2 linked regions of the Caenorhabditis elegans genome follow. The protein of the gene in region 1 interacts with the protein of each later gene in a pairwise test. Each region holds a gene or a part of one and is shown on either strand. Other genes may lie near its edges.

What was found.
Region 2: the proteins of F09F7.5 (region 1) and lec-1 interact in a two-hybrid assay, tested with the Caenorhabditis elegans proteins (2 studies listed by BioGRID).

The regions. Positions count from the first base shown.
Region 1 is NC_003281.10:5,545,116-5,551,875, reverse strand, and holds F09F7.5 (CRIB domain-containing protein), read right to left. Parts: upstream 4,767-6,760; 5' UTR 4,745-4,766; coding exon 4,659-4,744; intron 3,704-4,658; coding exon 3,617-3,703; intron 3,563-3,616; coding exon 3,499-3,562; intron 3,451-3,498; coding exon 3,281-3,450; intron 3,129-3,280; coding exon 3,045-3,128; intron 2,998-3,044; coding exon 1,992-2,997; intron 1,576-1,991; coding exon 1,426-1,575; intron 868-1,425; coding exon 763-867; 3' UTR 661-762; downstream 1-660. Other genes in the region: F09F7.6 (Ferritin), read left to right, coding at 444-554; putative kinase-like protein D1044.1, read right to left, coding at 5,650-5,896, 6,038-6,150, 6,224-6,418, 6,742-6,760.
Region 2 is NC_003280.10:13,194,926-13,200,427, forward strand, and holds lec-1 (Galectin), read left to right. Parts: upstream 1-2,020; 5' UTR 2,021-2,183; coding exon 2,184-2,228; intron 2,229-3,108; coding exon 3,109-3,684; intron 3,685-4,316; coding exon 4,317-4,553; 3' UTR 4,554-4,788; downstream 4,789-5,502. Other genes in the region: btf-1 (BTAF (TBP-associated factor) homolog), read left to right, coding at 5,246-5,374. UniProt on the Caenorhabditis elegans protein: Binds galactose.

The sequences.
Region 1 (6,760 bases):
TATGAATTGAACATGGTGCATCGACATTTTTTGAAAAAACAAAATTTTCCTTTTTCAATTCACGGACCCGATGCACCATGTTTTACGCGCAAATTATGTTGCGATGGAAACAGTACTTTATTCCACAACCTCAAATTTAAAAAATTGCAATAGTTAAGCCCGTTTTCGGAAAAAAATAGTTTTCAATTTCTCTGAAACGTCAAATTATAAAATTTCTCGACTACTTAGCAAAAACTATTCTGTACGCTGGACAAAATGCAAAATTCAAATGACAAAGCACTAGGATTTTGAGTTTCCAAAAGGCTGTAACTGAACATATTACTCAAAAATTGCAGTTTTACGGGGAATTTTCGAGATTGTAGATCAGTTAACAACTTAAAAAAGATAGTGTAGGCCACAAAAGATTATCCCATTCCACCCTTTAAACCCTTTTACTTTTCCAGAAAAACGTATACAACGAGGAATTTGTGACCCCTGCAAAACTCCGTTATCTCCGTGATGATCTGGAAGCCGCCGAGGAGCATCTGAAAAAGTTGCTTGAAACCTCCCATTGACGCGTTTGATCGAAACGGATTCTGTACATACCTTCCAAATTGTTATTTTTTGTGCTGTGAAGAAATGAAAATAAAATATATTGCTTTTTTCGCAAATCGAATCGGTTTTATTTGAGAAATTTATTTTTAATGGAATGGTGGTTTGGCACTGGAATGTAGAGAGACAATTGACTAGAGTTTAGTTAAGAATTTAAGTAAAACAAATAATTTAAAATCGAGTAATAATGAAATTATCGTCGTCTTCGGATTCTGAATCTGATGGGATCATTGCGGCTGCTGAAGGTGGTGGAAGCATGATGAAAGCGTCATTAATCTGAAAATAGTGGGAATTTGAATAATTTTTTGAAAATTAACAAGTGCCAGGAAATAGGACAACTACTGAAGGCTCCCCAGTTAATGATATTTGGTACAAAATCTATTTAGAAATATCTGCTAGGGTATGCAACCTGCCTCGTAGGAAATCTTAACCTATTAGCACTATTTTTGCTCATTACTTGGTTTGATCGATCGTTTGCTTAAAAATGTCTGCACGTACCTATGACAGAAAATTGTATTGAGAGCCCACTTATACATTTTGCTCAGTCTCAGAGAGAAACTTGGGTACGTGCGGACCCATGACCCACCATTCCAAAGAAAAATTTTGTCTAAAGAATTTCTCGAATTTCTTGCTTCTCTAAATCTATTTCTACTGGAAATTCGCAAGTAGTCAGCTGCTTCTTTTTGTTTTCGATCACCTTGTGATCCTATGAATGGCAGTTCCAATCAACAAAAGTACTTTCTCGGAAAAATTGGAAACTAGGGGTAATTAGCAAACTATTTCAAATTCCAATAAGCTTATCTTGGCGATTGATCTTTTATCACTACTAGTTACCTTGTCTTTTGTCGCTTCCACCCGATCTTCTTGTTCATCATTTATTTTTGTATCTCCCACCACTTGAAACTCCTCCCCAATCACGTTTTCGCCCTTTATCTCCTCTTCGACATTTTCTTCTTCTTCTTCTTTTAACGGTTCCGTTGAGACCTGCGAAGAAAAACAAATGAAGAAGAACATTGGTGATTGTTGACTTTTTGATGTTTGTATCGGTTTCATTTAAATAGATTTATATTTGTTCTAGAGGGGAGAGAATAAATTATAGAATCAGGTCAAAGGGTAGCGGAACTGATTTGCTTTCGAAAATGTGAGAATAACTGTGAAAATCGTGAGTACGACTAGATCCAAGTAATTGGAGCAAATATCGTTTAGGTTCAGGAGCACCCGTTCTTGAAACTTTTGCCCCCCCCCCCTCTCATTCAGATTCACAAATATCTATTTTATGGTGACTCATCAAATGGTCAGAAATATGATTCAAAAGTTGAAAGTAATACTTTAATTCCGTAATTCCTCTCTTAATGTTGCACCTACATAACTGATCTTGTGGATCACACAAGAAAGCTTACCGTCTTTCTGCTCCTCGGCTTTGGCACGGGCGGTACAAACTCTTCTTCAACTTCCCGATCCCTTTTCAGAACTTCCACATCATCATCCTCCCCAACCGTCGACAGAATACTTGACACAGTATCTGCATTTGATCTTGACGAGGTAGTGGAAACATCCGTGTTCCCAGATGAAGACGTCATTCTTCCGATGGACATTGGCATTGTTGCTGACTTGATCCTCTTATCATATAAGAACCTGGCAATTGCAGGAGGTACTCCACTTTCGTCACTTGAGCGGAGGTCTAGCGCATTTTGCTTTGTCAAGGCTCTTCCATTGATTAATACTGTACCAGGAGCTTCGGGAGCATCAAAGCTTGGAGCTTCATATGAGGGAGGTGGTCGGTTGGGAGGCATACTCACAGGCCGAGCGGAGAACGCAGGAATAAATCCTGGAGCTTGGAATGTTGGAGAGGAGAGGTCTGGAGGGAGGCTTGGAGCTTTTGGAGCCGGTCCTTTTTTCTTCCGAAGTCTAATTGTCTCTGGAGCTACCCCCAACTCATACTTCTCCACCAAATGCTTCATAAAAGCCCGATCTTTTTCTAGTGCAAGCGTCGGATAACCCGATTCGTCAGTACTGATTGTGGATAATTGATCCCTATCGAGATCATCCAGGTCATCCAACCAATCGTCAAGCTCATCCAAGATCTTTCTCCCTTGAACGGATGTGCTCCGAATAGTTGACATATAATTCGAGTCATCCGGCGGACTCGCCGGACTCAATATCGGTGTCTCCTCCTGATTCTTCGGGATTGCCAAAGGCCGATGCAACGGAGAAAGTGTATTGAGAGGTGGTGTACTTTTAACAATTGGAATGCAATCATCGAGACCGAAACTAAAAGCACCACCAAGATCACCCGGTCTTTCGATCACCAGAGAGTTAGGCTTCGGTGCAACGATTCGGTCGGCGGTTTGGATTTTTGGAGGTGGAGCTATGTGTGTTGAGATATTCGAAGTGTGGGAGATTGACCTGAAAATTGAAAAATTTTTAAACTTCAGGGTCCAATCAAGAAATACCGAAAAACTACAGGTTGCTCTGAGATTTCTGATGTTTCCTCCTCGTCGTCTTGGGCGTTGAAGATCAAATTCGGCTTGCTGTTCCTGAAAGTTTAATTCTCAACCAACTTTTGATTCAGTTGTCAAATTTGAAAGCGCCAGTAAGAAACTTAATTCTAAAGGAAGTACTTCTTGGAATTGAGGTAAAAAACTAATTCAAAAACTGTGTTGTTAGAAAATGTCATACAAATACTCACTGTGGAGGAGGAGTAGGGGGAGCTGGAGCCTTATAATTTTTCTTGCTCGGACGTGGTGGAGCAATATTTATGTATTGGTGGGATGTTGGTTGATTCTCGTAACCTCTGACAACTTCAACCTCTTCTTCACTTTTTGAAGCTGATGGGAAAGCATCATCTAGTCCAACTCTCTGAAAAGTTGAACTTTTTTGGAGAAAAGTAATTAAATAGTTCCCTACATCTTTTTCTTTTCTCTGCGATCGGAGTGTACTATTCGACGAGGAGGGTCTTATGTAGTAGCTGCTGAATTCTTTATTCATCCACATTGAATTCAAGTAATGCTTGTAGATCACAAACCTTTCATTAACCGTATCAATCACATTATCGCTCGTCCGAAGATTTTCAATTTCCGATGATCCCATTGGACCGACATGAGCCAAATGCCTGTAATATAAAAATTGACTATGATAGATTGTTTAAAACCTAAAACACAATGAGTAAAACTAATACGAATGTAACTAATTCGTCTCCGAATCTACTAATTGTAAGAAACTAATTCGTATGAAAATTGTAAGTTTTAGACGTATGGAGGCACGGGAGAGTACAGAGAAGCTGAGTGTCTTAACTCTCCTCCTCTCATATCTTTTTAAACAATTAAAATGGCGAATTGCGAAAAAATTGAGAATTTAAAAAATTTCAGGTAACGTGATTTGTATTATTTTATTTTATTTTTTACGACAATAGCCCATAGTGTAAGATTTAACGCTTGGTACCTATAATATATAACAATGTTTTATCAATTGTTGCTAGTCCACGTGTGATTAGGTACTACATAACAATTTTAAACTTAATATTCATAGTTGACATGTATGCTAGTTTTGCATTATTGTTTCTATCACTGATTATTTTCATGACTGAATTGTTGGCGGTTCCAGCTGTGTCAGCTAAATTACCTAGCAAAATGGTAAGTTTTGTTTCCAAGGTTTCTGATTTCTAAAACTTGGAATTTCAGTCTATGGATGTCAATATGATAATAAAAGAATGTTGTAATGAGATAAGTGTAGAGTGTTGTAAGCCTAATATTTTTGAATAAACTGTTCATGTTTCTAAATGTTCCTCATTTCTAAATGTTATATCAATTAAAAAAAGCACAATCAGCACAATCAATCAGCTATTGGCTAAATCTTGATGAAAGTTATTACACTGTAAAAATGGGTTGGTTAGAGAGTGTGGGGGAGGGGAGAGTGCAAGAACTCCGCTTCTTTCTCGGGCCTAAAACGTCGACATGTCATAATCCCGCTTGAAGCTAACCTACTAATGTTCTTCAAGAACGAATTTGCAGATACATTCCAATTCGAATGTACGGATTAACATAACATCCTCAACTTTTATTCCTTACCTGAAATCCGACGGCAGTGAGATCATAGTTTTATCCAAGTGTTTGTGCTGATTCTTCGGAGGCAGCAACGGCAAGTCGTTGGGCATTTTCCATAAACCCGGTTCCTGTCTTAAATCAAGAATAAAGTAACAAGAGGCAAAAAAAATCAATGGTCAAACCACGCAAGTTGTTGCAAAAACTGTGGAGAACAGACACCCGGAGTAACTGAGAGAGAAAGGGGAATAGAGAAATAACCGATAAAAACGTGTAAGCAGTTGGAAAAAGAGTAGTGATAAGGAATTATTGAGAAGGAGGTGATGTGTTGAAAGAATGATTCATTTGGAATTGGAAGCCAAGAAGTTTGAAGCTCCAATGACACCCGTGCTCAAGCTCCGCCCAAAGACGCTTGTAAGGAATCTTGAGTTTTGTAGCATGGCGGAATATTGAAGCGTCGTTCGATGGCTCCAAAATTTTGACCACTTTCAGGTACTGCATAAAATCAATTGAAAAATGTTAAAATTCAGATTAACATAGAAAAATCTAGCATAGAAACTACCTTTCAAATATTTCAAAAAGTGTTATCAATTTCTAGCAAATAGCAAATTGTTCTTGCTGATCTCCCATAGATTACTCAGATCAAATTGACAAGAGACGCAGCATGTTGAAGTGAAAAAAGAAAACATGTGTCGATCTGATGAGTAATCTCTTGAGGCTAAAAACCGGGTTACGGAAGGGTATTATGTATATGTATACTCTAGTGTTTGACTGCAAGTCGGACGATATTTCGCAATTTGTTTAACATTGATTTACGAAACCTTTGATGTTTTTAATGTATTACCGAAGATTTACTAGGATTATTTTTGTTTCGTAAAGAATTTAAAATGTGTTGTCATATTTGAAATAATGTTTTAAGCAACTTTGTTCATCATCAAAATTTAAAAAATTCCAAATATTAGTAGTAGTTTATTTGTTTTAATGTATAATATAAAAATCTTTAAAAAATATTCTTCTATTACATATCATCCAAAATTCCGATAGTCCGTCTCAAAATCTCCTGAGCTTTGTGTTCCCTTTCGTCAGCTCCACTTTTCAAATCCAAACTCTCATCCTTATACATTTTGTAGTAATACGACAGACTGAATAGTGACGTGGCATTCACAAAATTGAAGTGAGTTCGATAGGATTCTTCGAGTTGGGAGAAAGTGAAGGGAGCCGTGGAAAAATGAGATTTGAAGGTCGTATAGTAGTGGTTCAGGTATCTGGAAAATGGAAACTGACTCTTTGTTTTGAAATGTGTTTTATATCTCCGAACCCGATTTTCAAATCTCGGCCAAAAAGCGGGCCATTTCAATTTTTACTTCTTTCGGTTATTGAAAATGTTTAGACTTAGAAAAAGATACCTTTGAGTATTTGCTCTTCGATTTTCCACTGACAATCCAAGGCACAAAATACGAATAATATCAAAGGAGACGGGACCCTTTGACACGTGCTGGAAATCGATAAATGCCTGGATCTGAAATTATTCAATTTTATTATTAGGAGTAATTTTATATTCTATGACACGTAGTCCTCTTGGACAACTCTACCTTTCCAGTTTCATTATTCCATAGAACATTTGACGCGTTCAAATCATTATGACATATCACCAATGGCATTCCAAGTTTTTCGTTTTTCTTTTCGGAATTTCTAACTCCATCTTCATCAAAAGCATGCTTAACTTCTTGAATTCTTCCGGAGAGCTCCGCCGGGCATAACTTTTCAAAATCAAGGGTGTCGTTGTGCTGGAATTTTGATTCTGAAGCGTGAGAAAGAGCCGCTCTGGTTTTCAGGTAAGCAAAACACCATACACCATATTTACGGGTTGTTGTGAAAAGTCAATTTCCAATAAGTTCCAAAAATATTCGGCCACCAATTTTCGCGGCCATCAAAGAGATGTGCCCAATTTTAAATTCGAAATTTGAAAAGATGTGCCCAGATTGCAATCGATTGCAATATACTCTTTTTTTTTTATTTCTTACTATACCTAGGGCTTCACTGGCAGACAGGCACATTTTCAGGCCTATTTGAATATCTCGTGCCTGCCTCCCTACCGCTCAAAACTCACCAACATCCTGATATAGGCC
Region 2 (5,502 bases), on another chromosome or scaffold:
CCGGCAAATTCTGCGATTTGCCGGCTGGCCGATTTGCCGGAACTTTCAAATTCCGACAATTTGCCGATTTGCCGGAAAAAACTCGTTTGTCGCCCACTCACAAATTTTTAAATTGAACTTTTTTAAATTCTAATTAACTTTAGAACCTTTAAGAAAAATTTTGAAATTCTTGCTCAAATATTGACATAAACCGCCTATATACAGTACCTCATAAAAGCCTAGAAAGAATATGTATTCAAATTCAATCATAAATGTGTCACCACCTCATCATAAACAAATCTCTTCTCCCCTCCCATATTTTCTCACAATTTTATCACCATGGTTTCTTCTTCTTCTTCTTCTTCAGAGAGAGAGAGAGCGTCATTTCTCACACACACACACAAAATTTTCCTGCATCTCTCACACACGTTCTGTGCTCTTTTGTCTCTTGTTTACACGTCTGTTGTCTCTCGGACTTTATTTACGAAATGCTGCGTCTCTCCTGCCCTTCTCTCTCTCTCTCTCTATTGCGCCCAGAGACCACACTTTTATTGCCATTGTCGTCGTCGTCGTCGGAAATTTTCTCGCTTTTTCATCTTCTTCTTCTAAATAATCATGTTTTTAAAATTCAATTTTAATTTCAGGAACCACCGAAAAGCCACCACCAGCAAAAAATGTCCGCCGAAGAGCCAAAGTCCTACGTGAGTTTCGTTTCTAACGGTGTTGTAACAACAACAAAAAAGAAAAGAATAGAAAAAAAACCGTATCAGTACGGGGGTGATGAAAGTGCGGCGGCGGCCCCAGTCAAGCGTAAGAAATAATGAAAAAGAAAGGACAGAAACTTTTGGAGAATTTGCCCGTTTCTGTAAGTGTCACCTCTATAGTTCACCACCGATGTTTGGACTACTACTACTACGTGTTGAATCAGAAGGAAGATCAGACGCCGCAAAAAATATATTTGTTGATAGTTGATTTCGAAATTGTAGTTCTTGACACTGATGATTGATCGTTAAGTGAACAATTTTAAAGAAACGATTTTTGCATAACGTCCAGTTTGCAGCAATTCTACAGAATCAGGTTGAAAAGCTTCGAATTTAGAAACGTCTTCAGCTAAAGTGAGACCAAAATGTTTCCATCAAAAGCTCAAAAGGCATTTTTAATCTCTTTTTTCCAGCTTGAAACAATTTCCAGTTGATCTTTAAGATGCTTACCACTCGAATTTCAAATTGCTTCTGCAGTCTTCTATGTTAAGCCGTGTCTCATCATGAATGTCCTTTCTCTTCGATGTCTTGTGCCTTCTTGAAAATCTTCCGACGAGTAGTAACCTCCTTTTTCTCGAATATAGAACAACAAATGGCAGTTTGGCAATTTGGCAATTTGGACAAAACACTAGTACACCATGAGAACCTGCCTAAGATCAATGCCACATTTTTTCTCGCCTTGGCCCTAGTTGTGCAACACCTTTTCAACGTTTGAAGCAGGGGTGGGCGGCAATTGCCGGTTTGCCGGAAATTTCAATTCCGGCAATTTTCCGATTTTCCGCAAATTTCAATTCCGGCAATTTTCCGATTTGCCGGAAATTTCAATTCCGGCAATTTGCCGATTTGCCGGAAAAAAATCGTTTGCCGCCCACCCCCTGGTTTTTGAAGTGCATTTCGAGCCTTTGAAGTTGAAGTTTGCACGTGACGCCCAGACTCGAAATGCGGTAAACAGTAATGCGAAGACGCAAATATTGAGCATGGATTTTGCTCCGAAAACTTTTGTTGTTTGAGTTTCAACAAATCATACAAAAAAAATTTCGAGCTGAAAACTGTACCAACACTCATTATCGATCTCTTCCTCTCCAGAAAGTTCCGTTCCTTTTTTCAATTTCACTGTTTTCTTCGCCTACAACGACACGATGAATCATGGCGAGAAGTCGTATGCGAGAGACTGTACGAGAAGTCGGAGACACAGACAGATGCACAAAAAGAAACATTTCAATGTCGCCTCGCGCACATGCTGTCACCCTCCCATAATTCCATGCTCTCTCTGACTCAATATTGGGCGGCGCTTGCGAATGTTATGACTGTTCAACTGTCTGGTTTCTCTCTCCTCTCACACTCTCAGCTTTTGTTGAAACTGTTTACCGGTCGTCAGTTCTTCGTTTGACTCGCGTCCTGAACGATCGCTTTCAGTTTTCCTCAGCTCAACTCTTTACACTAATGTCTTCCACTCCTCAATTCCTTCGCTGGTACGAGCAGAACAAGGTAAAGCATGCCTCTATACATGGGGGTGTCAGGCTGTCCCATGTTTGATCTACAAAAAAAAGCGGGAATTTTTTCTCCTGCAACTTTTCGGAGATCAAACTGACATGGGACATTCTGACACCAGCTCGAAAATGGAGAGCATTCCAAGTTTGTTGGTTGCCACTAAAGTGACACATTCCTCTCGTTATCTGCTCGCCCACACCTTCGGTTCCATTATCAACATTCGAGATTCCCGCCATATTTCTGGTGTGTTTGCTCGGCGGCACATCACAACAAAATTTTGTGCAAAATGGAGCAAAATGGAGCTAAAAAATAGAAAGCAACTAGACAATGTAGAAAAGGCATTTTTTGTCGTCGTCAGCTGTATGAAAGTCTGGGGAGCGCGAAGATTGGTGGATGCAGATTGGATAACAGCTCTTCCGCTTTTTCGGGTCTCGCTTCTTGCTCGCTTATTCTGTTCACCAGTGTGTGACACGCGAGGTCCCCCCCCCCCCCCAGCATATATTTCTACATGATTACCCTACTGAACATTTTAAAATGGCATATGGAAGAAGAAATGGTTCTAGAAAACTCTACTTATAAATCTATTACCGAAACACAAAATTCTGAGAATGCGTATCGCGCGACATATTTGACGCGCAAAATATCTCGTAGCGAAAACTACAGTAGTTCATTGTTCATTACATGACTACTGTAGCGCTTGTGTGTCGATTTACGGCATTTCACAAGCGCTACAGTAGGCATTTAAGGAGTTACTGTAGTTTTCGCTACGAGATATTTTGCGCGTCAAATATGTTGTGCAGTACGCATTATCAGAAAAATGTGTTCCCGTAATAATCCAATTAATTTTTTAAAAAATTAAAATTTTTAAATTTTTCAGCCAGTACCATACCGCTCAGTGCTCCAGGAGAAGTTCGAGCCCGGACAGACGCTCATCGTCAAGGGATCGACGATCGACGAGTCGCAACGCTTCACCATCAACCTTCACTCGAAGACCGCGGATTTCTCCGGAAACGATGTGCCACTCCACGTCTCTGTCCGCTTCGATGAGGGCAAAATTGTGCTCAACTCGTTCTCGAATGGAGAATGGGGAAAGGAAGAGCGCAAGTCGAACCCAATCAAGAAGGGAGACTCGTTCGACATTCGCATCCGTGCTCACGACGATCGCTTCCAGATCATCGTCGACCACAAGGAGTTCAAGGACTACGAGCACCGTCTGCCACTCTCCTCAATCTCTCACCTCTCGATTGACGGAGATCTCTACTTGAACCACGTTCACTGGGGAGGAAAGTACTACCCAGTACCATACGAGAGCGGACTCGCCAACGGACTTCCAGTCGGAAAGAGCCTCCTCGTCTTTGGAACCGTTGAGAAGAAGGCCAAGCGCTTCCACGTCAACCTTCTCCGCAAGAATGGAGACATCTCGTTCCACTTCAACCCACGTTTCGATGAGAAGGTAAGGGTTGATATATGCCACGAGGCACCACAGAAAGGAGAACCACGACAAAGGAGAACAGGAACCACGTCCATTTTTCCGTGCCGCGAGAGGCACCACATTTTCAGGATCTGGAACCGTACCAACTGCGGTTTTTGCAGTTTTCTCTCGATGAAAAACGAAACAACGATGCTCCGATGTTATGCGTGTTGTTTAGCGTTTTCCAAAAGTTTTTATTTCAAAAAAACATTATTCTGAACGCTAAACAACACGCGACGCGTCATATCGGAGTATCGTTGTTTCGTTTTTCAGCGAGAGAAAACTGCAAAAACCGCAGTTGGCACGGTGCCCCAGATCCTGAAAACGTGGTGCCTCAAAATTTGCGGAAAACTTGCGGCACGGAAAAATGGGTGTGGTTTCTGTGTTCTCCTTGTTCACCTGTTCTCCTTTCTGTGGTGCCTCACACACACATACACAAAAAGACCCGCATTTTGTTTGCTACATTTGGGCAAATATGGCGCTCTTCAACAAACAATTTTATGAGACACAAAAGTTTTGCATGTGTCTATTTCTATTGGTAAAATTGGTGAAAGGACAAAAAAAAATCGATTTCAATAGAAATTTGACCAAATTCTTTATTTCCTTTCTTCCAGCACGTCATCCGCAACTCTCTTGCCGCCAACGAATGGGGAAATGAGGAGCGCGAGGGAAAGAACCCATTCGAGAAGGGAGTCGGCTTCGACTTGGTCATCCAAAACGAGGAGTACGCGTTCCAGGTGTTCGTCAACGGAGAACGCTACATCTCGTTCGCTCACCGCGCCGATCCACACGACATTGCCGGGCTTCAGATCTCTGGAGACATTGAGCTGTCTGGAATTCAAATCCAATAAATTATGTATTGATATCCCCTGTTCCCCCTCTTTCTTCTGTTATCCAGCTCTCCCATTTCTCTCTCTCTCACTGATCAATCTTCCAAAAGTCTACTGCCCCTCTCCCCCCCCCCCCCCCCCAAAAAGAATCATTTCTCTATTATTTCGCACCGGCAACTGAACTGTAATCCCGCGTTTTTCTTTTTGTATCTTTTCTCACCCCCCACATTGTATTTTAATAAAATTGGATAGCAGATTTTCTCGTTGTCATTTCAGGTTTCATATTTTGAAAGCGGATCATCATGAAAAGTTCTGCGAAAAAAACGCGAAAAGTAAGCGAAAACTCGAAAAAACTATATTTGAAAGTACCGCCGTTTTTGTCCAGGAGAGCGCGTTTTCCTCGAGTCACTACAAATTGCACGGAAGTCGAATCGTGAAAACCGCGCGTGTTTCCCATCAGGTTTGCCTACAAAATTTAGTTTTCTTCTTATTGTTAAATCAATAATTATTATAATGTATAATGTGAAGCTCGAAATCTTGAATAATCCTGAATAATCCTGCTATAAACTCGGGTTTCTAAAGTTTTCCTCAGGATTTTTGTTCCCTGGAATGCGTGGTGTCTCCCATTTTTTTTTGGATTTTTGGATTTAAATGCATTTTTCGCTGTTTTTTCTCTCAAATAAGCCGGAAAAATTGAAAATTTTCAGTTTCCGATGAGCGCCGACACGTCGGCTCGTCTTCTTCAGCTTGACCCTCTACTCGAAGCGAAAAATCCGAATGTTCGAAATGAAGCGGCCGCTGCGTTCGGGAAATTGTCAATTTTAAGTGAAGACGTGAAAAATGTTGGTTAATTAATATATATTTTTTTTAAATCACAAGAAAAAGTAAAAAATCACGGGTGAAAAGCGAGTTTATATATTTTTTTCCCTCGAAATGCCGAATATTAATTATAAAATTCAGTATTTTTGGG